Linked DNA regions of Coturnix japonica. The protein of the gene in region 6 interacts with the protein of the main gene of each other region in a biochemical or structural test. Links are inferred from orthologs where the notes say so. Each region holds a gene or a part of one and is shown on either strand. Other genes may lie near its edges. The genes, in order: PDZRN3, SLC9A3R2, HTRA1, PDZRN4, MAGI2, RPS6KA1 and SNTA1.

The links.
Region 1: the proteins of RPS6KA1 (region 6) and PDZRN3 interact in a test that uses a peptide from one of them, tested with the Homo sapiens proteins (2 studies listed by BioGRID and IntAct, with this or other methods). The link is inferred for Coturnix japonica from reciprocal best matches to the Homo sapiens genes RPS6KA1 and PDZRN3.
Region 2: the proteins of RPS6KA1 (region 6) and SLC9A3R2 interact in a test that uses a peptide from one of them, tested with the Homo sapiens proteins (2 studies listed by BioGRID and IntAct). The link is inferred for Coturnix japonica from reciprocal best matches to the Homo sapiens genes RPS6KA1 and NHERF2.
Region 3: the proteins of RPS6KA1 (region 6) and HTRA1 interact in a test that uses a peptide from one of them, tested with the Homo sapiens proteins (2 studies listed by BioGRID and IntAct, with this or other methods). The link is inferred for Coturnix japonica from reciprocal best matches to the Homo sapiens genes RPS6KA1 and HTRA1.
Region 4: the proteins of RPS6KA1 (region 6) and PDZRN4 interact in a test that uses a peptide from one of them, tested with the Homo sapiens proteins (2 studies listed by BioGRID and IntAct, with this or other methods). The link is inferred for Coturnix japonica from reciprocal best matches to the Homo sapiens genes RPS6KA1 and PDZRN4.
Region 5: the proteins of RPS6KA1 (region 6) and MAGI2 interact in a test that uses a peptide from one of them, tested with the Homo sapiens proteins (2 studies listed by BioGRID and IntAct, with this or other methods). The link is inferred for Coturnix japonica from reciprocal best matches to the Homo sapiens genes RPS6KA1 and MAGI2.
Region 7: the proteins of RPS6KA1 (region 6) and SNTA1 interact in a test that uses a peptide from one of them, tested with the Homo sapiens proteins (2 studies listed by BioGRID and IntAct, with this or other methods). The link is inferred for Coturnix japonica from reciprocal best matches to the Homo sapiens genes RPS6KA1 and SNTA1.

What each region holds. Positions count from the first base shown.
Region 1 is NC_029527.1:14,007,657-14,010,034, reverse strand, and holds the end of PDZRN3 (E3 ubiquitin-protein ligase PDZRN3), read left to right. Parts: coding exon 1-979; 3' UTR 980-1,878; downstream 1,879-2,378. UniProt on the Homo sapiens protein: E3 ubiquitin-protein ligase. Plays an important role in regulating the surface level of MUSK on myotubes. Mediates the ubiquitination of MUSK, promoting its endocytosis and lysosomal degradation. Might contribute to terminal myogenic differentiation.
Region 2 is NC_029529.1:6,192,138-6,195,637, reverse strand, and holds part of SLC9A3R2 (Na(+)/H(+) exchange regulatory cofactor NHE-RF2), read right to left. Parts: intron 1,728-3,500; coding exon 1,470-1,727; intron 1-1,469.
Region 3 is NC_029521.1:27,879,462-27,882,961, reverse strand, and holds part of HTRA1 (serine protease HTRA1), read right to left. Parts: intron 1,900-3,500; coding exon 1,705-1,899; intron 1,014-1,704; coding exon 981-1,013; intron 1-980. UniProt on the Homo sapiens protein: Serine protease with a variety of targets, including extracellular matrix proteins such as fibronectin. HTRA1-generated fibronectin fragments further induce synovial cells to up-regulate MMP1 and MMP3 production.
Region 4 is NC_029516.1:26,461,534-26,465,033, reverse strand, and holds part of PDZRN4 (PDZ domain-containing RING finger protein 4), read right to left. Parts: intron 3,399-3,500; coding exon 3,297-3,398; intron 1-3,296.
Region 5 is NC_029516.1:11,182,834-11,186,333, reverse strand, and holds part of MAGI2 (membrane-associated guanylate kinase, WW and PDZ domain-containing protein 2), read right to left. Parts: intron 2,769-3,500; coding exon 1,969-2,768; 3' UTR 1-1,968. UniProt on the Homo sapiens protein: Seems to act as a scaffold molecule at synaptic junctions by assembling neurotransmitter receptors and cell adhesion proteins. Plays a role in nerve growth factor (NGF)-induced recruitment of RAPGEF2 to late endosomes and neurite outgrowth.
Region 6 is NC_029538.1:149,007-152,506, forward strand, and holds part of RPS6KA1 (ribosomal protein S6 kinase alpha-1), read right to left. Parts: intron 3,453-3,500; coding exon 3,415-3,452; intron 3,291-3,414; coding exon 3,148-3,290; intron 2,745-3,147; coding exon 2,674-2,744; intron 2,441-2,673; coding exon 2,352-2,440; intron 2,153-2,351; coding exon 2,088-2,152; intron 1,465-2,087; coding exon 1,362-1,464; intron 1,112-1,361; coding exon 984-1,111; intron 563-983; coding exon 437-562; intron 1-436. UniProt on the Homo sapiens protein: Serine/threonine-protein kinase that acts downstream of ERK (MAPK1/ERK2 and MAPK3/ERK1) signaling and mediates mitogenic and stress-induced activation of the transcription factors CREB1, ETV1/ER81 and NR4A1/NUR77, regulates translation through RPS6 and EIF4B phosphorylation, and mediates cellular proliferation, survival, and differentiation by modulating mTOR signaling and repressing pro-apoptotic function of BAD and DAPK1.
Region 7 is NC_029535.1:2,063,197-2,067,283, reverse strand, and holds the start of SNTA1 (alpha-1-syntrophin), read right to left. Parts: upstream 2,801-4,087; 5' UTR 2,070-2,800; coding exon 1,808-2,069; intron 106-1,807; coding exon 1-105. UniProt on the Homo sapiens protein: Adapter protein that binds to and probably organizes the subcellular localization of a variety of membrane proteins. May link various receptors to the actin cytoskeleton and the extracellular matrix via the dystrophin glycoprotein complex.

The DNA.
Region 1 (2,378 bases), on a different chromosome or scaffold from region 6:
CAGGCATGAGCTCTCAGACATTACAGAGCTCCCAGAGAAGTCTGACAAGGATAGCTCAAGTGCATACAACACAGGTGAAAGCTGCCGAAGCACTCCGCTCACACTTGAGATTTCTCCTGACAATTCCTTGCGCAGAACTGCAGAAGGCATCAACTGTCAAGGTAATGAGGGAGCAGTGGCATATAATGTCTCCCAAAAGAATTTGTTTTCCAGCTCAGAAAGTCATGAATCCAGCACAGGTAAATGCCATTCATCTGCTAAAGATCCTGAGACGAGCAAACAGATGGAATGCAAGGAGAGAAAAGCCAGTGATGGAAGCAAAAGCCCTACTCATGGTCAGAAACCTTCTGGCTCTTATGTCTCCCCATACCACCACTCTCCATATAAGCATGCTCATATTCCTGCTCACGCACAGCACTATCAGAGCTACATGCAGCTGATCCAACAAAAATCAGCAGTGGAGTATGCACAGAGCCAAATGAGCCTGGTGAGTATGTGCAAAGACTTCAGTGCAAGTCAGAGTGAGCCGAGGATGGAGTGGAAAGTGAAGGTCCGAAGCGATGGAACCCGCTACATCACCAAGAGGCCAGTCAGGGACAGATTGCTGAGAGAACGAGCCATAAAGATTAAGGAAGAACGCAGTGGGATGACTACTGATGATGATGCCATAAGTGAAATGAAGATGGGCCGCTACTGGAGCAAAGAGGAGCGGAAGCAGCACTTGGTGCGAGCCAAGGAGCAGAGGAGGCGACGTGAGTTTATGATGCAGAGCAGGCTGGATTGTTTAAAGGAACAGCAAGGTGCAGAAGAAAAGAAAGAGGTGAATATCATTGAACTGAGCCACAAAAAAATGATGAAGAAAAGGAATAAAAAAATATTTGACAACTGGATGACAATCCAGGAACTGCTTACCCATGGAACAAAGTCACCAGATGGAACACGAGTGTACAATTCCTTCCTGTCAGTGACTACTGTATAATCACCATTGCTAAATTATGTACATAGAACGCTACCATTGGGGTAGGAATCAATGCCTCGTTCAATGTGGCAAGATTTTTGTATATAAGATACAGTCATCGAGTTTATAGTTCAAATACTGAACTCTACGACTGCGGGTGCCAGGATCTCCATTATAAAAATGGAGAGACTGTTTGCCCACCCCAGCTCCTTCAGAGGCAATATTAGCAGTGCTTTTTGGATACTGATTGTACTTTTTTACTTGTTACCTTTTACATAAAGTGTTTAAATATCAGAAATGTATTAACCATATTTACACAGGTAATTTGCTTAAACTATATTCATATAAAAAGGTACCCGTGCTCTTCTTTGTCTAAAAAAAAAAATGCAAAACCCCACAAGAGCAACCGCACATACGTATTTTTTTGTGAAACCATATTTTCTGATACTATTCTGCTGTTGTTCACTTCTACACTGAGTGCTGTTTATCTATATTTAGCTCAAGGTTTAAACTCAGAGTTACTGAATTCCTAATAGAGCCATTCTCTTGTAAGATTTAACATTTATCAAACTGCAGTTTTTAGTTACCATCAACATTTAAATATTGTTCTAAGGTTTATAAAGAAAGCATATAGGTTTCATCTGAAAAGCCTGAAGCAAAGAGAAGTGTACTGCGGCTTTAAAGATTTTAAAGCATGTTTGCAAACATTGCAACCTCTTGAAGAAAACGTGCATGTACAGCTGATTTGTTTATATAAGACAGTTTGTGGAATTTGAAAAGCCCATGGTAGTTACTGTTTGCTTTATAGATTTGAATGTATTGAATTATAAAAGCGGTTTCATTAAATCATCACTAGCTGCAAATGTTAACAAGTAAAATGAAGTAAAATAAATTATTGTTTTATATTTCAAACATTTTAATTTTATTTTTAACTCCCTTACTGTTGTGCCATGCTGAGCATCCTGTCCTAGAGCACAGCTCCCACGTGTGGGAGTCGAGCCTAATAGGAAGGACGGCATCCTGACCTTGAGGGAAGTCAGCACTGAGGTGATATGGAGGGAAGAGGCAAGAGAGAAGCAGGAATATGAAGAGTAAAAGTGTTTACTTCACAAGGTGTTCAGGATTACTTGTAAGCATAAAGAAAAGATAGGATTTCTACTCTTCTGTTTTGTTTCACAGTATCGTAATGGTGACTAACCTACAAACTTTAGCAAAGCTTTCCATTAAAAACAGACAAATTTGTAAGTTAAAGGAGATTGAGAAAAGGACAAAGGACAAAAAGTGAATTTCAAAGAGATACTTCACTCCTTTTCTTGTTTTCTGTTTCTAAACAAGAATTCAGAAATAAACTTGATTTTTTTTCTGGAGAAATAGCAAACTAGACTCATTATTAATAGCTCCAAGATTCTTCATCCCCTCT
Region 2 (3,500 bases), on a different chromosome or scaffold from region 6:
TCATGGCTCCCATGGATGGAATCTATCTGGAACAGCTCTGTCCTGAGCTCTCCCCAAGGCAAAGCCCCTATGGGTCACTATGTCCTGTTTGGGACCTGCATTGGCTGGATACCAGCATGGGTTCTGGCACCACCAGCCTCAAATACAGCAGTTGCTCCATGCACTTACCCTCACCAACCCCACAGCCCCTCTGCAGGGGGGTTCAAGCACTCCCTCCCACTGCACCCCCCTGCCTTCTCAGTTCTCCCTGTCCCACCCTCTCCTTGGAGGAGCCGAAACCCAAAGGCCGGAAGGGACCAGCCCGTTCTCCGCGCCCAACTTCCCGTCAGCACAAACTGTTGGATTTCACCCAGCAAAAGGAACAGAGACAGGATAGGAAACCCCCAGCCTGGGAAGCCATGCACGGCTGTTTGCACTGCAGCCCCCCTCTCTCCAGTTTCTTTCTCCTGTCCCACCAGCCACCCTGGGAGGTTATGAGCAGCACAACACTGACCTCCATTGCCACCCAGAGCTCTCTGAACACCTTCATACCACAGCCCATCCTCCAGCACCCCCAGAAAGGGCAGCCCCCTGGACCAGCACAGCTCTGCCTGACACAAGCAACTCCATATGAGGGGGGGAGGGTCAGAGGCAGAACCCCATGCATAACTCTGCTTTCTGCCCTACACATTATCCCCATGCAGAAATTGCTTGAGCTGTTACCCCACAAGGGCTCCTGAGGACAACGAGTGCTAAAGCTGGATTTGGAAGCAGGGAAAGCCTTGCACAGCCTGGTTATAAGCAGCACCACGGGGCTGCAGGATTCACCCCCTCAGTGATTAAAGTGGGGACAGTCAGCTGCATGGTGGTGGCTGCCACGTTCACATCCCATGCATGGACAGTGCCGGGGCTGAGTGCTGCCTATCTGTGCGTGCAAGGCTGTGCCATCACCGCCCTCCCAGCAGAGAGCCAGCCATGGAAACTGGACATCTTCCACCTCAAATTCTTTCCTTGCTGAAAAGGAGTTTACCAATAAAAGGCGCTTACTGCAAAATCACAGCCCAGACTCAGACCACTTGAAAAAGAGCTTATTTCCTTCCTATTCCAGCAAAAGCTGAGAACACATTCAACCCAGCTGTTCCCTCCATCCTAGAAGTAACACAGAAGAAATGGACTGAGTTAAGGAGTCCAGCTCCACCACATCCACAGCCTGTGCTGCCTGTCCCCAAACAAGGGACAAGGACATCAGCCAGGGCAGCCTGGTTGTCCCCAGGGGGCTGGGTGCCCACCTCAGCTCTCTGTAGCTCCTCCAGGAGCAGCCAACACTGCTTCCAACAGAGCAAACAAGGCCTTGTGCAGCTCACCCACAGCTTTGGGACACACTGAGACGCCCAGAGCCACATACAGAAGGTTTGCTAACGGGAAGCACATTTGCAATGGGATGCATCCTGCTGTCCAACCCCACGCTGTGCCACCAGCTCTGCCCTCACCTTCCTGCTGCCGTGTGAGGAGAAGCTGTGTGAGTGCCGCTGCAGGCTGCCTGCGCTCAGCTCCAGCTGTGGTTTCCACACCTCCCCGTTGTCGCTGCCCACTGACTTGGAGGGTGAGATGTTGGAGCCCAGCAGGATCCCACTGTGTGCCATCTCCTCTGTGCATGTCAGGCGCAGGCTGCACAGGTACTCATCTGTCTCCTTGTCCACCACCAGCAGGCGGGTCTCTGTCTCCACTGCCTTGATACGCTGCACCACCTGCAAAGGAGAAGGAGAAGTAGTGAGCAGAAGCCCAGAGACTCCCCAGTTCTTGGAGAGCTGTATCTCCAGACCCCTCTGCCCATTGGTGCTCTCCTGCAGCTTCCATTTCACTGCACGGTGCACATTCATTACTGTTTCTATAGGCAACAGGGGAGGAGGGCAGAGATTTGGGATCCTTCAAGATAGCACAGCCTGCAGCCATGGGTGACAGTGACAATTCCTTCCAACACCACCTAAATGATGGATCTGCCCATGGCAGCTGCATACACACAGGTGGACATCATCCCCTCTGCTCCACTTGCAAGCCTGCTGTTCCATCACACAACACACATCCTGAATCCTGCTGCCTAGCTTCATCCCTCACAAGGGACATGCAGTTCTACCACATAAACAGCCCTGCAAACCCTCACCCCTTTACCTGAGACTTCTTTCTCCCCCCACACCCAGGGACAGAGCTGAGAACTCAAGGTGGAAAGCTGGGTTGCACCAAGAACCAGAGCACAAATGCAATGTCTCAACTGCCTTTGCTGCACTCTTCCCATTTGGACACTTTCCCCCCTCCCACCTCCCCCCTTCCCAAGCAGATTTATAAAAGCAACAATCTGATCCGTGCATTCATCCCCCTGCGTGACAGGACAGCAGAGATAAGGGAAACCAGCACCAGGAGATGAGCCCATCCCTGCTGGTCTCCAGCTCCAGGCATGGCTGAAAGGGACCATTGTCCTCACACAGCCTCACTTTTTCACGTTTTTTTGTGTGACTGCAGATCCTCTGAAAGGAGCTGGCGGTGTCAGCCCAGCAGGGAGGAAGGGGAGCACGGGGCAGCTCACACGTGGGAAAGTAGAGAGCTGTGCTCAGCTCTAGGGCAGTCAAGCAAGCACATGAGTCCAGCACAGCAGGGCAGGGTAGGAATAGGGAATAACTGTGGATATATGAGGGAAGAAGGCAGAAAAAGACTCCAGAACCCCCTGCCTGCAGCCTCAGGGTGGTATCCCACAGGGCATCACCTGCTGCCTGCACAGGCCCTCATTCCAAAGAGGAAGACAGTACCACTGGCAATGCAGCTCTACCACTCTCCCCAGCTGCAGGGGGACACTGCCAGCACTCATGGCCCTGTGACACCCTATGTGTGCTGGGGAAACCCTGAAGCAGCACAGGGTTCCTTACAGCTCCTGCCCTATCTAGGTCAGGCCAGCCAGATACTGCAACTGCCAAGGTTAGAAGTGACAAACGAGCCTAATGTGCAATTAGCCAGCGTTTATTTACTCCCCTGCAAGCTCCATTCAAGGTCAGCAGAGCCAGTATCTGCAAATGAAAAAAATAAAAAACCACCAAGACAAAATTTATAGATTGCAGACATGGCTGTGTGTGCCGAGCAAACCAACCCAGCAAGCACCAATGCCCACCACCCTGCACCAGGAGGGTTCCTACCCATAACCTGCCTGCAGGGTGCTGCTCCACCAAACCCTGGAAAACCCATCTGCTCCTTCTCAGATCCATTTCTGTGCAACACCAGGCGATGCCACTGACACTGTCAGAGCAGCACCTGTACCAGGGCACACCTCCAGAAGGGAACTGGGAACAGACAGCTGATGTGCAGGAACAGGGGTTGCAGGTGGGCAGCAATGTGGGGAAGCATGCAGGAAAAGCAATGGCAGAGTCCTGCACATCCCTCCCTCCTTCTCAGGCCCTACAGTTTGGGTCCCGCAGGCCCTATTGCAGCACAGTAGTTCTCACTACTGTCAAGGAGAAAAGTCACACAGATCCAAC
Region 3 (3,500 bases), on a different chromosome or scaffold from region 6:
TTCATAGAACCATAGAATTGCTCAAGTTGGAAAAGACTCTGAAGATCATCAAGTCTAACCACAATTCCGTCCAATTTCTCTGAATCACCTACTGATACGAAAAGTATTCTAAATGTTTTGGAAAACCAAAAGCTCTTCCCAGCAATATGACTCCTGGATAAGCTCTCACATGTAAGAGCATTCCATGCCAAAGGAGGATTTCACCCCAAACAGAGGTGCACCAGCACAGCCAGTAGATTTCCCATTAGCAAGCACTGACGTGCTGGGGCCAGGACAGAAAAAGGCTCAGGATTGAAAGAGCAAACTATCCAACCACAACTTTTAAATGGCAGGTTACTAGAGCTGCAGTTGTTTTGCAAGTCAAGTAGAAAAAAGTTGCCAAGTTTCCAATACAGAGCCTCTGAGAAGCTCCTATTCCCCTTCTAGGGCTGACAGAGCTCCTGCACAGCCACCTGGTTTTGCACCCTGCTTTGCTGTTCTCCTCTAAGCTCGTCCACAGCTGCTGTAAGGAAGCTGACTGCTTCCTACAGAACCAGCATACAAAGCTTAAGGAGCTCATAAACACATGGGGTTTCCTACCCTGTGAACGTGCTTCAAAATAAAAGGAGGGCACACATTTCTGAACCATTAAACTGAGCTTCAGTTTGCAAGAAACTGAATTTTCAGCTGCATGGTAAACACCAAGTGCAAACACCTCGCATTAAAAATGAACTTCTTACTTTTCTTGCAAAGCACAGGCAAATTATTTGGGCATTACAAGTAGCCCAAACTATGCAAAGTGTAAACACCTACATATTGAAATCGTGGCGTAGTTTGTGATTTGACAACAAAAACACAGACAAGTGATTAGTAAGAGCCATGTGAATTTTGTGTAGCCGGGCAAACACTGAAAGCTCTGAATCACACTTGCGGTGCTCTTGTTTTTGTTTTTAGACCAGAAAGTAACAGGCTTCACACTAAGCAAACAAAGAATCTCTTACCAGGTTTACTAAGGGTCCTCCAGAGTTTCCATACTGCAAACAAACATGGGAAAAGCAGGTTTTAATATCCACACTTAACTCATAATGAGCAAAATGTTCAAGGGATTTTTGAAATGTTTCTGTAGCAGTTTTTCCATTATCTATTAAAGATACACAGTGAAACACTTACGACTCCAAACCGTTACTTAACACGCACTTAACATCCCTCCTTTTTTTGCATTTCAATTCTCCTTCTCTTGCCAGAGTAACCTAAGTAAACTGGGACTTCTCATTGGTTTTAATAGTAGCAGACTGGCAGCATAGAAGACTGTAATACGGCTTCGGAGCTGCAAGCAAACATCCCTCACAAGGCCAACAGTAGACAAAAGCTATTGTTCTGCCTTAATGCTGAAACAAACTTGAGTTCTTAAGCTGAGCGTGGCTTCTTTCTAGAAAGCATGACAGATTTTGAGGAGAAACTCATTCAGCAGAGAATGCCTCCTCCTCCCTTACAGGCTGTAAGAAGCTGAAGGGAAGGCAACCATTGAACTTGGTGTGGTCCCTTTGGGGGTTTGGTTTAATAACAATCAGGCACTGCTGCACCGCAGATGTCCATATTTGCGAGGATGAAAGAAAAGCCAGCTATGCTCACTGTTCTTAAGAACCGCATTACTGGAGGAGCTTTCAAAGCAACTATTCCAGAAATCTGAGAGCCCAAAGAGCCAAGGCTCAAGGCAGGACATACATTGATGATGGCGTCCGTCTGAATGTAGTCCATATCGGAGTTGCGGAGCCCCAGCTCCTTTCCTCCGCGCTGCGTGGTGCTAACAATCCCTGTCGTCACCGTGTTTTGAAGGGAAAATGGACTTCCAATGGCAACCACAAACTCTCCCGGCCTCAAGTCTCCAGACTGACCAAGCAGAAGGACTGGCAATTTACCCTACAAATGGAAGGAGATTAAGAAAAGAAGAAAAATTCATACACCATTAGGACATTACTATGCAGGTCAAAGAGAAATAACTGTTCTTTAATGGAGTAGAAGAAAAAAAAAAAACACTTGAAGAGTGCTTTTTCCACAACAGGTCCCCATTCAAACCAAATGGTCCCCATTAAAAACAAATGAAGACCAAAGGAATATTTGTGTATTGCTGTACAAAGCAAACATTTGGCGATACCAGGAAGGAGCTGTTCCCAACAGCTTCTTGAAGTAATTAGCCAACAGCTGTTGATGTAAAAATAATATATTCCTTAAGAGTGAATTCTAGAGGGAGTCATGAAAGCAACAGCCAGGGCGTATCAAACAAACATGCATGTAGTTAAAAGCATTTCATATTCCCATAAGACATGAACTAACGTTTCATCTATTGTTCAGTAGACAACTAGATTACCTCCCACGTATCTAGGTGTCTTGTGAAGATGTGAGGATTTAAAGACTTCCTAGTATTTTCTTTTTATGACAGTAAGGGATGCCATTATTCTTTCCTTTCAAGATCTTATCTTGAAACATGAACTATCACATAATTAAAGACTTTCCCCTCCGAGACAGAAAACATTCCTAAATCCAGCATCAACACAGAGCGCTGCAATTTACAGCAATTAAAAAAGAAGGAAACAAAAAAGCAACGGCTGAACCTAACACCCCTATCAATGCAGTGGATAAACTGAGCATCGTTTCTCCAGGACATCTGAAGAGGTTGGGCAGCAGATGGTTCAAACAAGACCAGTAAGTCCCCTGAGAGCAGTGAGCAGATAGTGGCAGCGAAGTTCCCCTGCTCACTGAGTAATTAAGGGCATTCTGAAACAGTCTGTATATCAAAGAAATGTTCTGCACTGATGCATCATCCACCTGCACAACATGCCTTGGGTTTGCTTCATGTTTTTAAAAGCCAAGTCTTCACTGTTTCAACGGTGTTACATATTTTTAACTGTTTCATGTTTAACCTGCTGTCTAAATGATCCTGACTACCACGACACCAGATCATTATCATTACTACCAGTGGATTAGGACATGCATCATTTGAGGCTTCAGTTTAAGCATCTTGCAGGATTTGAGAGGTACATGACCTCCAGATGAAAACAGAAGTCTCCCAGGACAGATCATTTGCTTGGTAGATTTAAATTATAAGATAGGTTTCCTCTATGCCCATCCAGCTGAAAAAATCCTTTCCTTTGCACAACAAGCTCAGCCTCCAAAATACAAGGCATTAATACAAACTTCCAAAATAGGTGACTGCTCCTAGATGCAGTAAATGCCCCACATATGGATTAACCCAAACCCAGTTTCCAAGAAGTGGGTAACTTCTAATATAAAAGGGATATCTTCAAGATATTCCTCAGCTTTGTCCCTAAAATGAAGGTACAAATTGGCTTAATAGTTATTCTTGTTGCCATTTATGTCTTCTTGGAAGCCAGCAGAAGTGCCTTTTTAGCCTGTATTTATTCCAAAACATGCAACTTACAGGCCTAAAAAGTGTAGGGGATTGTAAAAGCAGACAGTGTGCTTACAGAGCAAAAAGGCAAGGCAGCATTTAGTATGTCCTG
Region 4 (3,500 bases), on a different chromosome or scaffold from region 6:
CTTTTTATCATAATGATTCACTTCAGAAAGCCAGGCGGTAGGAGTCTGCTTCTCAAAAAAGGAAGAAGAAAAAGAAAGATAAAAAATGGGACTCTCATGCCTTTTATCCTTTCTTGAAACAGTATGACTGATTTTCTTTCATAATGAAGGAGACTGCACAGCACAGACATTTTTTCTTTTCAAAAGGTATGAAAGGCACAGTGCATAATCCTGAAGCTGTCATGTTCATTACCGCTGAGAGCCCCAGCGCTGATAGAGCGGCATCATTACTAATAGGGCCACAAGACAGCCGGGTTCTTTCTCTCAACAGCCTCCACCCCAGTGCTGTACCATAGTGCTGCACTCTCAATAACAGCCTTGCATTGCATTTCTACAGCAATTTCTCCATTGATCTTCAAGGAAAACATACATAGAGAAGATGGCAATAGGCAGATGTGGCAACTGGAAGGGTAGTTATATTTGTCCTTACAGTGTGCCTGGAAACAACCCTTATCTGTCTGTGTTTTCCCTAAGTGTAATTCTTTGACATTTGATGACAATCTTGCAAAAGGATAGGAGGGAATGTTGCATTCTTCATCTAGTCAGTATACCCTCTCTCCACATCTAATTAGCCCCCTTAACAGCTTTCTACACTAACAAAACCAGCATCCCTGCTCTAAAATTCTTATCTTCCCATTTTGCTCACTGTGCTTATGTGTATATGGCGTGTGTCCATTTGTATTTGTAATCCCTCACCAGATGGTGCACTGCACTGAAAGGGAAAATACCAGTCAGTGACACTCTTGTAAAGGCTGTGATGGTGGGAAAAAAGCAGAAGGCAATATTTATTGTTTTGTCACTGGTGAAAGAACTGGAGGAGGACTGTGACAAAAGGGCGACAAATTCCTAAGCACCAGACAGTGACAACAATACCAACTATTCATGTTTCAAGGCAGCCAGATCAGTGCAACACAGGCCACAGCAGAAATGCTACCACTGCATCAAAGCACACTTAACCAAATCAGCAAGTGGTAGTTCAAAACTACACTGAGAGTGATTAGCGCTGTGTGGTACTTACACCTGAATGCTGGTCAGGTATCACTGTTTCTTTCAAAAAGTCTAATATGCTTTTGACAAACATAAACTTTCTGAAGTTTTTCTTGGCAAAGTCAGCTTTCAACAGCCCGAAATTAGAATGAAGGAGGTTTTTATTTTTTTCATTGGAGTGGGGGGCATGTAATTTTTATATTTGTCCTTAATGAGACTTAGAAACCATTCTATGAAACATCTAGTATTGACTACTAGTTTTCTTTACTGTTCTTACTTGCTTTTTCTACCAAGGAAAGCAGGAACACAGTCCTTCTCTAGTATGAAGAATGCAGCTTAATTTATCACATTTGAGGAAACTGTAAAGATAACAAAATCTGGAGGATGAAAGATGGATCTCACTTGGGTAAATCTGCTGCTTTGATCATGGCAGACCGCAAATTTAACTTAATGCGAATCCTTAAGATACACTTTTAGCACAAAGATCATTTCTACTTTAGCATACATGGGTACTACATTCATTCTGCGCCCTAAACACATGTGAATTAATTGCTCATGCTCTTTCTTTCAATATTGAACAGGTTAGGTGCCTCCTTGGTGATATGCATCAAAACTTAATTATCCATCAGTATTCACCAGACAAATAAATGGCCAAAAAAGGTTTTCTTCCCTGTGGCCCAGTGAATGTACTTAGCAGTCAGTCTTCAAGACTGCAATACTGACAATACTTATTTCTATCTGAAAATAAGAGCCTGCTTAATCCTGCTATCTTTTACCAGAGTCAAAGCAAAACAGCTAGCTGAAATAGGTTTGCAGCAGCCTGACATCTGATATACTATGGCTGTTTCTTCTGTTTTACATAAATATGTACTCAGAATGTAAAAATTAAACTAAAAAGAAACAACAGCAATGAAAACAAACAAACAAACAAACAGCAAAGAACCAAAGAACACTGTGTCCTGTGACATGGAAGATATGGAAGGAGCATCAGTACAGGAAGCAATAATGTTATGAGAAAGTAATTCCTTACGTCATATCAATATAATTTTTCTAATATTCACCAGTCTAAACAAATACAGAGAACAGACTTTCCCTGAGTATATGCTTTATTAGTTGGTAGGTTTCTGTTCCCTACAGAACAACAAAATTTGAGTGAAAAAGCAAAAAAAAAAAAAAAAAAAGTTTAAAAAACTCTTTAAAACCTCAGCAACTTCCAATGTGAGCTAAAATTTCGCAATATACACTACTGTTTTTTGCTGTACACTATGTCATCATCTTTATGGGAATTGCTTAGATTGATGAAAAATATAAAGAAAATAAATCCTGAAATTGTGAATCTTATGTAACTACTGGATTGAAGTAGAGATTCCAAGTGGCACTGAATTACACTTACTCAATTTAATTTAAACAGAGTATGCAGCTAGCAAAACTGAGAAATATCAGATCAATGGCATGAGAGACAAATGGCAACATAACCAACTTTGTTTGAACTGCTGACAGATGGAGAGAACAGTGGCAATATAATGTCTCTTTTGCTTTGCAGTGGCTTAAAAACAGCATATAAAGGCAAGTACAAACAGTACTCTTCTTCCACTCTACCTCTCCTTTAGTTTGATGATCAATTTAACACCTCCCCCTGCCATGATATAAAATATTCTTGGCATGGCAAAATTTTATTCTTAGCACCACTGAAACATTATTAAAAGCTTTTGAAAAAGCACCTCCTGAGATACAATTTGTAATGTACCAGCATTTTTTTGTGACCAGGGTACTTTGAAAACAATTAGATCCAGAGCTGCTGAATGGTACTGTAGCGAAATTTCCATAACTGGTACATAAATGAACAGTTGTTTACAAGTGCGTAGAAAAAAGAGCCATCACCAGTGAAAAACTACAGCTTTGAGTAAGCTCGTATAAACGACTAAGATAAGCATGGGAAGTTTATCCCCAGAGCAACTAAGAATCATCAAACAAGCAATATATGGTTTTCAAGTTCTACTTCATATTTTACTAATATCATGTTAGTCCTGTCAGCTTTATTTGTATACCTGCTTATTTTGTCTGCTGAAAAAAAAACTGCTTAGCTTGGGGCAAAGAAGCCCTGGCAACATCACATTATTTCCTCTGTTGGCTATAAAGGGCCAAAGCTCTGCAACTATCTTTTTCCTCCTTTTGTTAGGAACTTTGGCATTCCTCCTTCCCAGCAGTTCATTACTTATGGTGACAGTGAATGTACAGGATAACCCAGGTTATCCTGTATTTACTCTAACCTGCAGTTCTGGCCTTGCAACCAGCAACACAATTTTCTTGCATTCATCACTGGAGAGCAATGCCACTGCCTCTTCGCGATTCTGGACATCTTGCCCATTAATCTAGAAAACAAATGAAAGTGGCACATTAGTTTCTATTTCCACAAAGCAACACACAATAAAGGGCAAATATCAGCTCATTTGTAGTGAATGTATGGACAATGA
Region 5 (3,500 bases), on a different chromosome or scaffold from region 6:
CACTGTTTTTTTCAGATTTCATTGTTTGCTTTCTTTATACATAAAAATAAGATACCAGGACATGCATCTACACTACAGAAGCATTGTCCAAAATCAGATTCAATAAATTAATGGCAAATTATATTGGAATTATATTCGATTCTAGTTCAGGGGATAAAGATTTGTTGGGGTTTTTCTTTTTCTGTTGTTTTTTTTTCTTTTTTTTTTTCTTTTTTCACTAAATAGTCATTTTATAAACAGCTACGTGGACTTGTGCTTTTCAGAAATTATACACAGAATTTCTTTTTCCCCAAAAGAAAAGAAAGAAAAAGAAAGAAAGAAAAAAAAAAAAGAAGAATTCTTTGAAAGCTGCAAAATCCTTTACTTGAGGCGTTTCAGATAATTGGACAGGAAGAAACATGCCTATAGATTTCTCAGTCCAGTGCGATGTTTGAGACATACAGCTATGTGCTGATTCCTTGGAACAAAGACAATCTCAATCTAACGTTTCAGCAGAGCGCATGAGGAACTAAGATTGCTCAAGAACAATCATTTTGGAATACGAACTGTTGACTGCATCATTGTTGTTTTTAATCACCAATGTGTTATTGCCCAGGATTTTGTATTTGTTTATTTTTTTTTCAATTCTGACAGACAAAGAAGCATATGCACACTCATAGGTACACACATGTATCTTTTTGAACCAAGAGAGTGACTGACTGACTGAACTTAGACTTATCTCCTGTGAAGGCAGACTGGAATGTTTACCTGGCACTTAAGGCTTGAAATTCAAAACAGACAAGCAAGAAAGACTAAAATCAAAAGAAAAAAAAAAAAAAAAGAAGAAGAAAAAAGAAAAAAAATGGAGGTAAGGAAGAAATGATAAAATGTAAACCATTTTAAAAATGGAAATATATCGAATTTACTAATTGAGGGCACCAAAAAGTGTATTTCCATTTAATAATTGTTACGTGCCTCAAAGACACCTACTCTGCCTAAGTGAGGGAATGGAAGATGAGAGCATCCTAACGAAATGGGGGTGGGTATGGAACATAGCACTGTTGATGAGTGAAACTCATTTCCTGCAGAATGGGAAGGCCTTTCCTTAAGGAAACTGCAGCTTTTTCTCTGTAGCAATCTTCCATACATTGCAAGGGCCTCGGGGATGTTGAAATTTTGAGCCTGGCCAACTGGCTTGTGTGCTACTGTGCAGGATTTGGGGAACGTGTAGTAAATTGCTTTGGAGAATAATTTGCAAATACAACTCCACCCTAACTCCTTTCCAATGTACAGAAACATGGTTGGTTCACAAAAATGGCAGTAGAGATGGTATCACAGAAACTAATCCACTAGATTCCCAACTCCTCCTGTAGCATCCAGCGAACTGTGCTACAGGGTATCACGTGGACTATCCCAAAGCGGTGACAGTGGAGACGTGTCATGGGCGTACAGTTCCAAATGCTTCAAAGAAACCCTTTAACCCCTGTCTAGATATGTCAAGAACAATTTATTTACAACATTTTAGCTCCATGAAAAGATTCTCTCTCAGTTTCAGCTTGCTCCGTGCAGTTTTATTTAAGGCGATGTTCCAGTTTGCGATTGCTCTAACTTGTTCCAGTTTCTTGATATAAAGTTTGAATGAAATCCAAGTCCTTCATGCAGTGGAAAAAAATGCTAAAGCTACACTGCACTATCCTTCTCTGATGTACTGTCCTTCATATTGTTTTGGTTTCTTCCATAGCTGCCAAAGTCCCTAAAATGGAACTGGGACTTTAGGGTCAATTTCAAATCTCCGTGTTGACTATATGCTTTTGAACTTATTAGATACTGTGCACATTGTCATGGAGTTACAGACTAATGTTTTCATCCCTCAATGCTTTGTGTATATGTGTGATAGTTAAAATAAATTAAAATAAATCAACGTGAGACAACAACTAAGAAGAATGTTCTGCGTCAATTTGAGACAGTTAGAGGGCAACAGTCCCGTGCTTATCTGCTCATGGCAGAAGTGCCAGACTTCAGGACGCCAGGTAGCTTATCTGAGCCGGGGATTTTCCACGGTCCCGGGGAGACCGTTGCCTTTCGAACTGTAGTGTTGGTGCTGCGAGTGCTAATGGGGTGGAGATGTCCCTTCCTGGGGAACTCACTGGGTTTCCCATCAGGATCCCTCTGGCTGTGATCCATATCGCTTCCAGGCGAGCTGCAGCGATTGCTACTGTATGTCTTGGTAGCACCTGCATCAAGCTTGGCATGGTCAGGTGCTGCAGCTGACTTCTTCTCACTGGTATTTGTGGATCTGTGATCTTCTTTTTTGCTAAGAGATCCTCCCCTCTTGCTTTCCGGCTTCTTCAGCCTCCCAAACTGTTCATCACTGCTTCCAGCACACATGTGCTCTCTCACGCCAGCCTCCATCATAACGCTGTGTCCCACCGCTCTGCTTTCCGAGGTGAGCCTGCCACCATCTGTCACCTTAGTTTTGCCTTCTGAATATCCTTTCCAAGAAGGCTCGTCGTGCTTTGACCTGTCTGCCTTTTTAGGACTTGCTGACCTTTCTCTTTGCTCTCCTACCCTTTTCTTTTTGTGGCCGTTCACCGAAAGCTCCTTTGGTTTCCTTCCATCGTGTTCCCTCTTGATATCCCATGTTGGTTCTGGGCATATCTGGTGAGAAGGGTCAGAGGGTGGGGCTATGTGTGATGAGGATAATGGTGAGATTATGTCGTCGAGGGACAGAGCTACTTCCGGCAGACCTGGGGAGGCGGCAGCGGGAGCGCTCCAGGAGCTTGGCTCGTCTGTGATGGCAACAGAGAGAAGGCGTCAGGGTGTGCTCAGCATGTCATGCACATCACACACAAAGCAACATGAACACCCGAATCACGCTTGAGAATCAGACTCCTCAGTCTTTCAGGGGAAGTGAGACTCCCAGTGAGGTCAATGGGGAGGGAACTCTTTACTCAGAGGGCAATGAGGCCCTGGCGCAGCTGCCCAGAGAGCTGTGGGTGCCCATCTCTGGAGGTGCTCAAGGCCAGGTGGGATGCGACCCAGGGCAGCCTCAGATGGGGGGCTGGAACTGTGGGGGGCTTTAACAACTGTTCCAACCCAAGCTGTTCTATGATTCTATGAAAATAAAACAGTCCCACTCTCCCCCAAATAAATAAAAAGCCCAGGAGAAAGTAAAAACCACGGGGCTGGTACTGCACACACTGAAAACCTCGGTCTTTTTTTATATAGGTTCTGCTTTTCTCTGCCTACGTTAAATTATTCTTAAAATAATAACGATGCGCTCATGAAATCAAATTGCCTCTTTTCTAGCTGTATAATGTATTTCTTTGCTGGGCAATATCAGTGCTGTCTCCGAGGACAAATGAGAAAGACTTTCTGCCATCTATAAACATGTCCCCACAAGCATATACTAATTGACAAGAATTTGTAGCTCAGATAAGGTCATCATTGAATTCTGTCTCATATTTTTTCTAAATAGATATAATATTGCAGTGTTTATGGCCCCACAATTCTTGCAGGGT
Region 6 (3,500 bases):
AAATCGTTTCATCTCAACTCACGAGTTTTTTTTTTTTTTTTTTTTTCTTTCTGATTCTCTCCCCTATCTCACTGGGAAAGGGGCCAGTGAGCAACAGATTGTGTGGTGCACAGCCACCTGCTGGGATAAATCACAACCACCATCCAGTTCCAACCCCTGCTGTGGGCTGCTTGCCCCCCACCCAGTCAGGCTGCCCAGGGCCCCATCCAGCCTGGCCTTGGGCACTTCTGGGGATGGAGAACCCACAGCTCTTCTAAGCAGCCTGTGCCAGTGCACTGCAGACATACTGTGCTATATCCATTCCTTGTCATTTGCCCCAAAATTGTATATTTAAGTCCCACAGTCAGGGAAAACAATTTCATTCCTTGTTATTATTTTGGTCATTACAGGGATGAACAGAAATCTAACAAGGGAGGTCAGACTGAATATCTCAGACCTTGACTGCATACTCCATGTTGGTTGTTTTGTGAATGCACCGTTTGCACACTGAGTAGGAGCCCACACCAATCGCCTCCTTCACCACGTAGCCATCACTGAACTGGATGTTCTTGCCATGCAGCTGCTGCAAGAAGAGAGCAGGGAGCGAATGAGCTGGGAGGGTTCAGGGAATGGTTTGTGCAACGAGTTAACTGCAACACCAAGTGAAGTGATAGACTGCTGTCTGCTACATCCCACATCCTCTCCTCCCTCCTGGGGAGACAGAGGAGAGGAGAACACGGCAAATATAGGTCAGTAGGCTAACACAATCTGCATCCAGCACACTGCATTCCTGCAGCACCTCTCATTCACATAGCCTGAGTCCACCTGGCAAGAAGGAGGCAAACACTCAGTGTGCTCTGCTGACCTCTGCATGACAGTCAGTAAGAGCAAAAGAAATCAGGATGCAAGAATTCGAACCAGAATATCTTTCCTTTAACTCCTGAAGACCCACTCTGGAGTTACTGCAGTCTCAAAGCAGATGTTCTTCCATCCCCATGTCTCACCTGCACCACGGAATGCAGGGGGGGCTGTGCAGGTTTCACCTTGCTGTCTTCCATCAGACCGGTGGCCACAAAGCTGAATCCGCGGAAGAGCTGATGTGCACCTGCACTGGGAGGGATGCCTGGGGAATCTGCAACAGGAGTTGAAGGAAAACTTGAAAAGGAGCAGCAGCGGAAGCAGAAGCCTTCCCCTCATGGCTGTGCTCAGACAAGAGCAATATGATGCAGCACCAAGCTACCAGTAACACCCTGTGTATGGCTGGGACTCCTCCCTAAAGTAGCCAGGAGGAGGCAAACCTTTACCCTGATGGCAAAGGCAAGGCAGGATTAAGCTGTACTATTTCACACAGGCTTCAGCTGAATTCATAAATTCATACCAACCTTTTGGTGTACGCGATGTAAATTCTGTATCAAAATAAAAGGTGTCATCAGGCTGACCTACAGCAGGCTTGAAGGGTGGCTTGATTTCCCTTCGGTACAGCTTCTGCAAAATACAGGTAGTATATGGAAGTCCTGGAATAGCTGAATGTGCTCAGAAGCGTGCAAATAGCTGCTAGGAATGAGAGGCTGGGAAGAAAATTTACAACACTAGAAACAGTGTTGTGACTGCAGTTCAGCAGTGGGAGGGATGGCCTCCTGGCCAAGAGAGCGCCTTTCAGTCCGTTTGTGGAGAAATTCTTTAGGTTTCTACCACCTATCATATATTAATCAAGAAAAAAAGTAAATAAATAAAAAAAAAGTTCTATGTATAATGCAGGGAAATGTAGGTTCAGCTATTGCCCTGCTTCTCTGCAGGGTACAATGCAGCTGTTTACCTGAGCCCTTCCTACTCTGTGCAAGGCAATCCTTGCGCCAAACCTCAATTAAAACCTGCACCTTAGTTCTGAGAGCTCAAACCAGGGTGAGGTCACCAGCAACTCAGTATGAAACAGTATCTTGCATGACTAACAGCAGTTTGGTTTCGGGAAGGACAATTAGGAAAGATGGAAACATGGGTTGGTAGCACTCCCTCAGCTGGTCAGACTGCAGGTGGCACCACTGAGGTCAGCAGAGCTGCATCACTGTGCTGAATGGGGTGAAAATTGCTTTTGCGTTTCTGATACTCACATTCCAGTCAATAGTAGAGTAGAACGGATGACGCTTTATCTCTTCTGCCCCATCTGGACCAGAACCTGAAAGATCCACCCGCAGACTGCTTAACATTTAATCAGGATCAGCAACAAAGCGAAGGCTATCACCAAGCATGCAACATAACCATGTATTATGGAGAACCTATTAACTTAGCACAAGTGCCAGCATGCTGCCAACCCACTGTGATGTGAGAGGCACAGCTACAGCATCAGGTGGATTCAGAAACAAAAAATGCCTTACCTAATCTGTTGGCTGGGTTCCTTTTGAAAAGGGCTCGAAGGAGGCTCTGTGCCTCAGCGCTCAGGAACTGAGGCATGCCCAGTTTTGCTCTAGGGAAGAAGTTATGCAATCAGCTGCAGGTATAAAGAAGCCAACCCACAAGCAGCACCTCCACCCCTGAAACAACAATCTGTTTGGCATTTTGTACTGCAGCCTTCAAACTGAGTGTTGATACAAAGCTACCTGCCAAGTAATGGCATTATGTTGTGAGAACCCCAACTGCAGCATGCTTAGAGAAAGAGCAGCACGCTTGTCTCTATACACACATGAAATCTCCTCTTACTTAAGGATGAGGGTCATCGTCTCCTTGCGGTCCTTCCCCTGGAACGGCAGCGAGCCAGTGAGCATCTCAAACTGAGACAAAGAGACAACAAGGGGAGGTCACATATATAAACAAGTCTGAGGGCTGCACAGATCTCATTACACCTTCATCTGGGAATTCTCCACAGCTGGCAGAAGCCTTGCAAGTGATCAAAAGCCTGGCTCTGGAAAAAGAGAGCAGGCATTACATTCTCAGAAGGGAGCTGTATATCACATTGTGTAGTGGGGATATGTTCCAGCAGTGTCTGCTCCTGCCACAGCCCTTGGATCCAGCAGCTGCCAGATGGTGGCACCAGATCTGCACAGCAACCAACAGCCTGCTCCAGGGCTGACACTGGCACCAGCACATCTGCTGGATGCAGAGTCACCAAATGGCATTTCATAGCTAACCCCTGAGCAGATGCTGAGGTTTCCAAGCCCACCAGTTGGTACCTACCATCAACACCCCATAGGACCACCAGTCCGCACTGTGGGAGTGGCCCTGACGGTTCACAACCTCTGGGGCCATATATTCCACTGTCCCGCAGAAGGAGTAGGCTTTCTTCTCATGGTCTATCGCTTCCTTACTCAAGCCAAAATCTACGAAAGAGAAAAACCATCAGCATGGTCTAAAAAACCACCTGGTCTTCACAATGGCCTTGAGCAGAGAGGTCTGAGAGAAGTTCCATGTTTCAAGAACCAAGGTTTTTATGGAGCACCTCACCTGTGAGTTTGATGTGTCCTTCTTCATCCAGGAGGATGCTACAGCAAGGAAGAAGAAAACAAGTCATTAGTGGCAAGAAAGGCTGG
Region 7 (4,087 bases), on a different chromosome or scaffold from region 6:
TCACGGACAGGATGGCATCTCCCACATACAGTGCCTCGGTCTGGTCTGCTGCCAGTCCCTTGAAGATCTTGGAGATGAGGATGGGCATCTTGTTCTCCCGGCCACCTGCGGGCAGAAGGGGCACCAAGCAGTGAGGGGACACTGAGCAATTAGGGGCACAGGGCTGCTCAGTGCCCACACAGTGCCCAAATACCTCAGAGCTTTATGGCAGACACATGTTAAGTGCTTCAAAAAACCATCCGAGTGGCTGCAGATTTCCTTGCTGAACAAACACACGCCCTGACCGCCTCCCCATCACTTCTGGCAGGAAACTGTGTCACTATTTGCATTATTAACTGTGTGTGCTGAGCAGCCTTCCCTGCTCTCAGGACCCCACGGTCTCAGTGGGGCAGCAGCTGAGTGCTGGAGAGGCAAAAGAGCCCCAGAGCAGCAGCTCAGCCGCAGGACTACCTGCTCCCCACTCCTCTCTGTCTCCATTCGGGCTGCTCCCCACTCTTCAGCCCACCAGGACACTCTCAAGGCCTCCGGGCAGCTCAAGGAGATCAATTTGCACTTTAAGTTCTGAACCTGTAGGAGATGCCAGCAGCCCCGCCTGGCGCTGCCCACGCTCAGCGCTGGGACAGCGTGTGCCGGGCACCCCCTCACTCCCCCCTACCCCCCTCCCACGGGCAGGGACCGGCAGCGTGACACCTCCCAGGGCTGCACCCGCTGTGCCGCCAGCATTGCTCCGCTCGGATTTCTGCAGAGCCTCTCCGGGAGCTGAGGGCTCCTCCGGCTATCAGCTGTCAAGAGGCCCCCGCGGGGGCTGCTGCTGGCTGCCGAGCCCAGCTTGGAAGCAACGCCTCGCAACCACCCATTCTGGGCTGTGTGCGTGGAGAGGGAACCACCGCCCGGAGCACCATGCGGTACACGACCCTGCAGGAGAAGGATCCTAACCCTAACCCTAACGATGCTAACCCTAACCCTGCAGGGCTGCATGAAGCACCAGAAACCCCAAGTGAAGTACTGTCTGGGGTTAGGATGCAGCTGAAATGCTTTAACCAGAAGGTCCATTTTAGATTCTGTCCCACGGGCCATGGACAGGAGCTGGCTGGCAGCGGGGTACCCGTCCCTCCATGCCCCCACCCCCTGCAGGGACAGCAAGGTTTGGCTGCGTTTAATGGCACATGGTCACCCCCCTGCAAAGCAGCAGAGGCACAAGGCAGCCCAAGTGCTGCCCGCCCGCCTGCAGCTCCCCGTTTGGATCACGGCTCCTTGGTTTCCACCTACGTCACTGCAAAAATAAAGTTTAGCTGAAGCAAGTAACGTTTCTCCTTTCCTGGGAGAGCCGCAGAGCCGGCAGCGCTTCGCAGCCCGGGGTTGGTTACAAGGGGGGATTGCACCTCCCAAAAGCGCTGCCGAGCTGCAGCACCCACAGCCCCAACAAGCGGTGAGGGCTCACCCCGGACCCCTCACGGGGACCCGCACCCGACACACCGCCCCACCCAGCAGCGCCCGGCAAGGAGCGCGGTGAAGGCTGAGCCCAATGCGGCCACGTCAGACAGCGGCAGCCCCCCGCACCCCCCCTCGCGAAGTTCCCGGCCCGAAGTTCCCGCAAAGTCCCCAGGACGGGGGTGGGGGCGGCGGGGGACACCGGGGGACACCCGACCGGGGCAGAGCGCTGCGTTTGGGGCGGCCAGGAGGGGACACCGCACCGGGGTCACGCAGGACGCAAGGACACGCGGGCGGAGCCCTCCGGTCGCAGCAGGGCAGCGTAGGTCCTACCTGCCGCCGCCGCCGCCCACTCCTGGTACTCCCCCCCCCTCACCTTTGATGCTGATGCCGAGCCCCCCCACGTCCTGTTTGACGACGCGCACCGTGCGCCTGATGTTGGCGAGCGCCTCGGGCACGCCGGAGCTCTGCTCCCCTCCGTTCAGCTGAGCCGGCGGAGGCTCCCCGGGCCCGGGGCCGTCGGCGGGGCTGACGCTCAGGGTGTCATCGCTCAGGGTGAGCAGGACGCGAAGCCACTGTCCGCCGGGACCGCGCAGCTCCAGCAGCCCGCTGCGCGCCCCTCGCCTGCCCGCCGCCATCTTCCGCGCATGCCGGGCCCGGCCCCGCCGCTCCGGCAGCTCCGCTCCGCGCTGCCCCGCGCACCGCCCGGCGGAGCAACGAGCCCCGCGCACCGCCCCCGGCCCGGCCCACGCCCGCCCCGTCGGGGCAGCGCCGCGCTGCGGGGCTCCGTGCCCGAGTATGGGACGGGGAGCGCCGGGAGGGGCATGGGGAGCTCTGCACACCCTCACTCGGACCCTCCCGGCTCCGGGCACCGCGGTGCGGTTGTGTCACAGGGGGACCCTGCGGGGCACGTCGGGGCGCAGCGGTGTCCGTGCCGAGAACCGGGTGCCACGAAAGCTTCGGGCGTGCTGCGGGGTACACGAGTAACTGCTGTCGTGGAAGCGAGCAGCGCTGTCAGGCAGAGCCAGAAGTGACTCGAAGCGAACTCTGGACTTATTAAGGAAAACTGCGATGATGAAAAGCAATGGCAGCTCTTGGGGGCGGTGGGGGGCAGCCTCAAGAGCTCTCCCACTGGCGTCCGACGACGTCGGTGCCCCAAAGATGGGTGCAGACAGCAGCAGGGAGGATTTTTGGAGGCATTCAGAACAGTCTTGCTTTTTTTCTTTCCTTTCCCTGTCCTGCTTCTTGAAAACAGGAACGGTGTTTGTTTCCTTTGGCAGATCCGCATTTCCTCCTGCAACCGAGTGGCAGCAATGAGGGATAAAAAATACCTCTGGGTACATCCCCTGTGCCCCTTCGGGCAGCTCCAGAGCCCTGGGGTGGGGCTGCAGGTCCCCAAGCCCCAGGCTCTGCAAACGCAGCCTTAAAGGAATTGAATCCCGTTCACGCACAAGGGGAGGTGGGGGGGGTATTGCAGAGCAGGGGGCTGCAGCCCTCCCCACCCCCACACGGAGGCAGCAGCGCTCCCCCCACGCAGAGGCAGCTGTGGAATTTCTTGAGATTGCGGCAGAGGAAACCCTGAAGGTTTTTCCCTTGCAAAGCACAGCTCAGATATTCCAGTTTTCAATCCAAATTCTGCAGTTCGATTGGAGTGACTTTTTGGGTTTGCCTAACAGTGATGCTCCCACGCCCATCACACCCCCCCCTCCCCCCCCCCAGTCCTCTGTGCATCCCACAGACCCTGAGCTGCTGTGCCCATAGCAGAGGGGGTTCAGTCCTTTTGCTGCCAGTTGGGGTCACTTTGCCCCTTGCCACTCGCAGTCTTTTTTCTTTCCAATGCTATTTCCAGCACAGGTGATTATTAAGGCTGTATTCTCATTGTAAGCCACGTCAGAAAGCAGAGACACTGCTCCCAGTGCCACAGGATGGCACCATCCAGGGATATGTGATATGTTTGCTTCCCCAGCCCTGGCAGCACTATGCAAAGCAGCAGTGGGAAGCAGAGCAGTGCCACACAGGGGGAAACCTTGTGCCATGCCACACTGCTGGGCAGCAAGGCCATGTGTGCAGCCCCACATCATGGCACAGAGGTGCTGCAGTGCCCGTGGGATGGTGATATCTTCACTGTGATTCTGTCACAAGGCTGAGCCCATCCCATCCTCCCCCTGCAGAACATCCCCGCTCCCGGACGTGGTGGGTGAGCTGCTATTATTAGCTTCAGCTCTTGGCACACACAGGAGCTGTGTCAAAGCCCACCCGTCTATTTATAGAGCGCTGTTAGCTGCGTGAATTTACATGAATCACTTCTGAAACAGAAGAAAAGCTCGTGTTTGGGTCTGAAGTGGCATCCCCAAGGCTGACAGCAGCACCTCAGGAGAGCATGGGGCAGCAGGTCCTGCCTTGCTGAAACAGATCAGAGGCTGCAAATGCACTGGAGAGGATGGGCAGGGAAATAAAAGAGATTCAGATGTGCACCATGTACTTAACCGAGTGATTCATCCCCTGGTATACAGGAAATGTAGTGAAATGGTGTTGTCTGCCCAAACTGTGCAGTCTCCGACTCCTCCAGTTGACTTTAAAATGTTTTGCTTTGGGACACAGTCACTCCTGGCCGAGTTTCTCCCTTCTCAGTCTGGGTTCTGCTCTCTGGATCCCC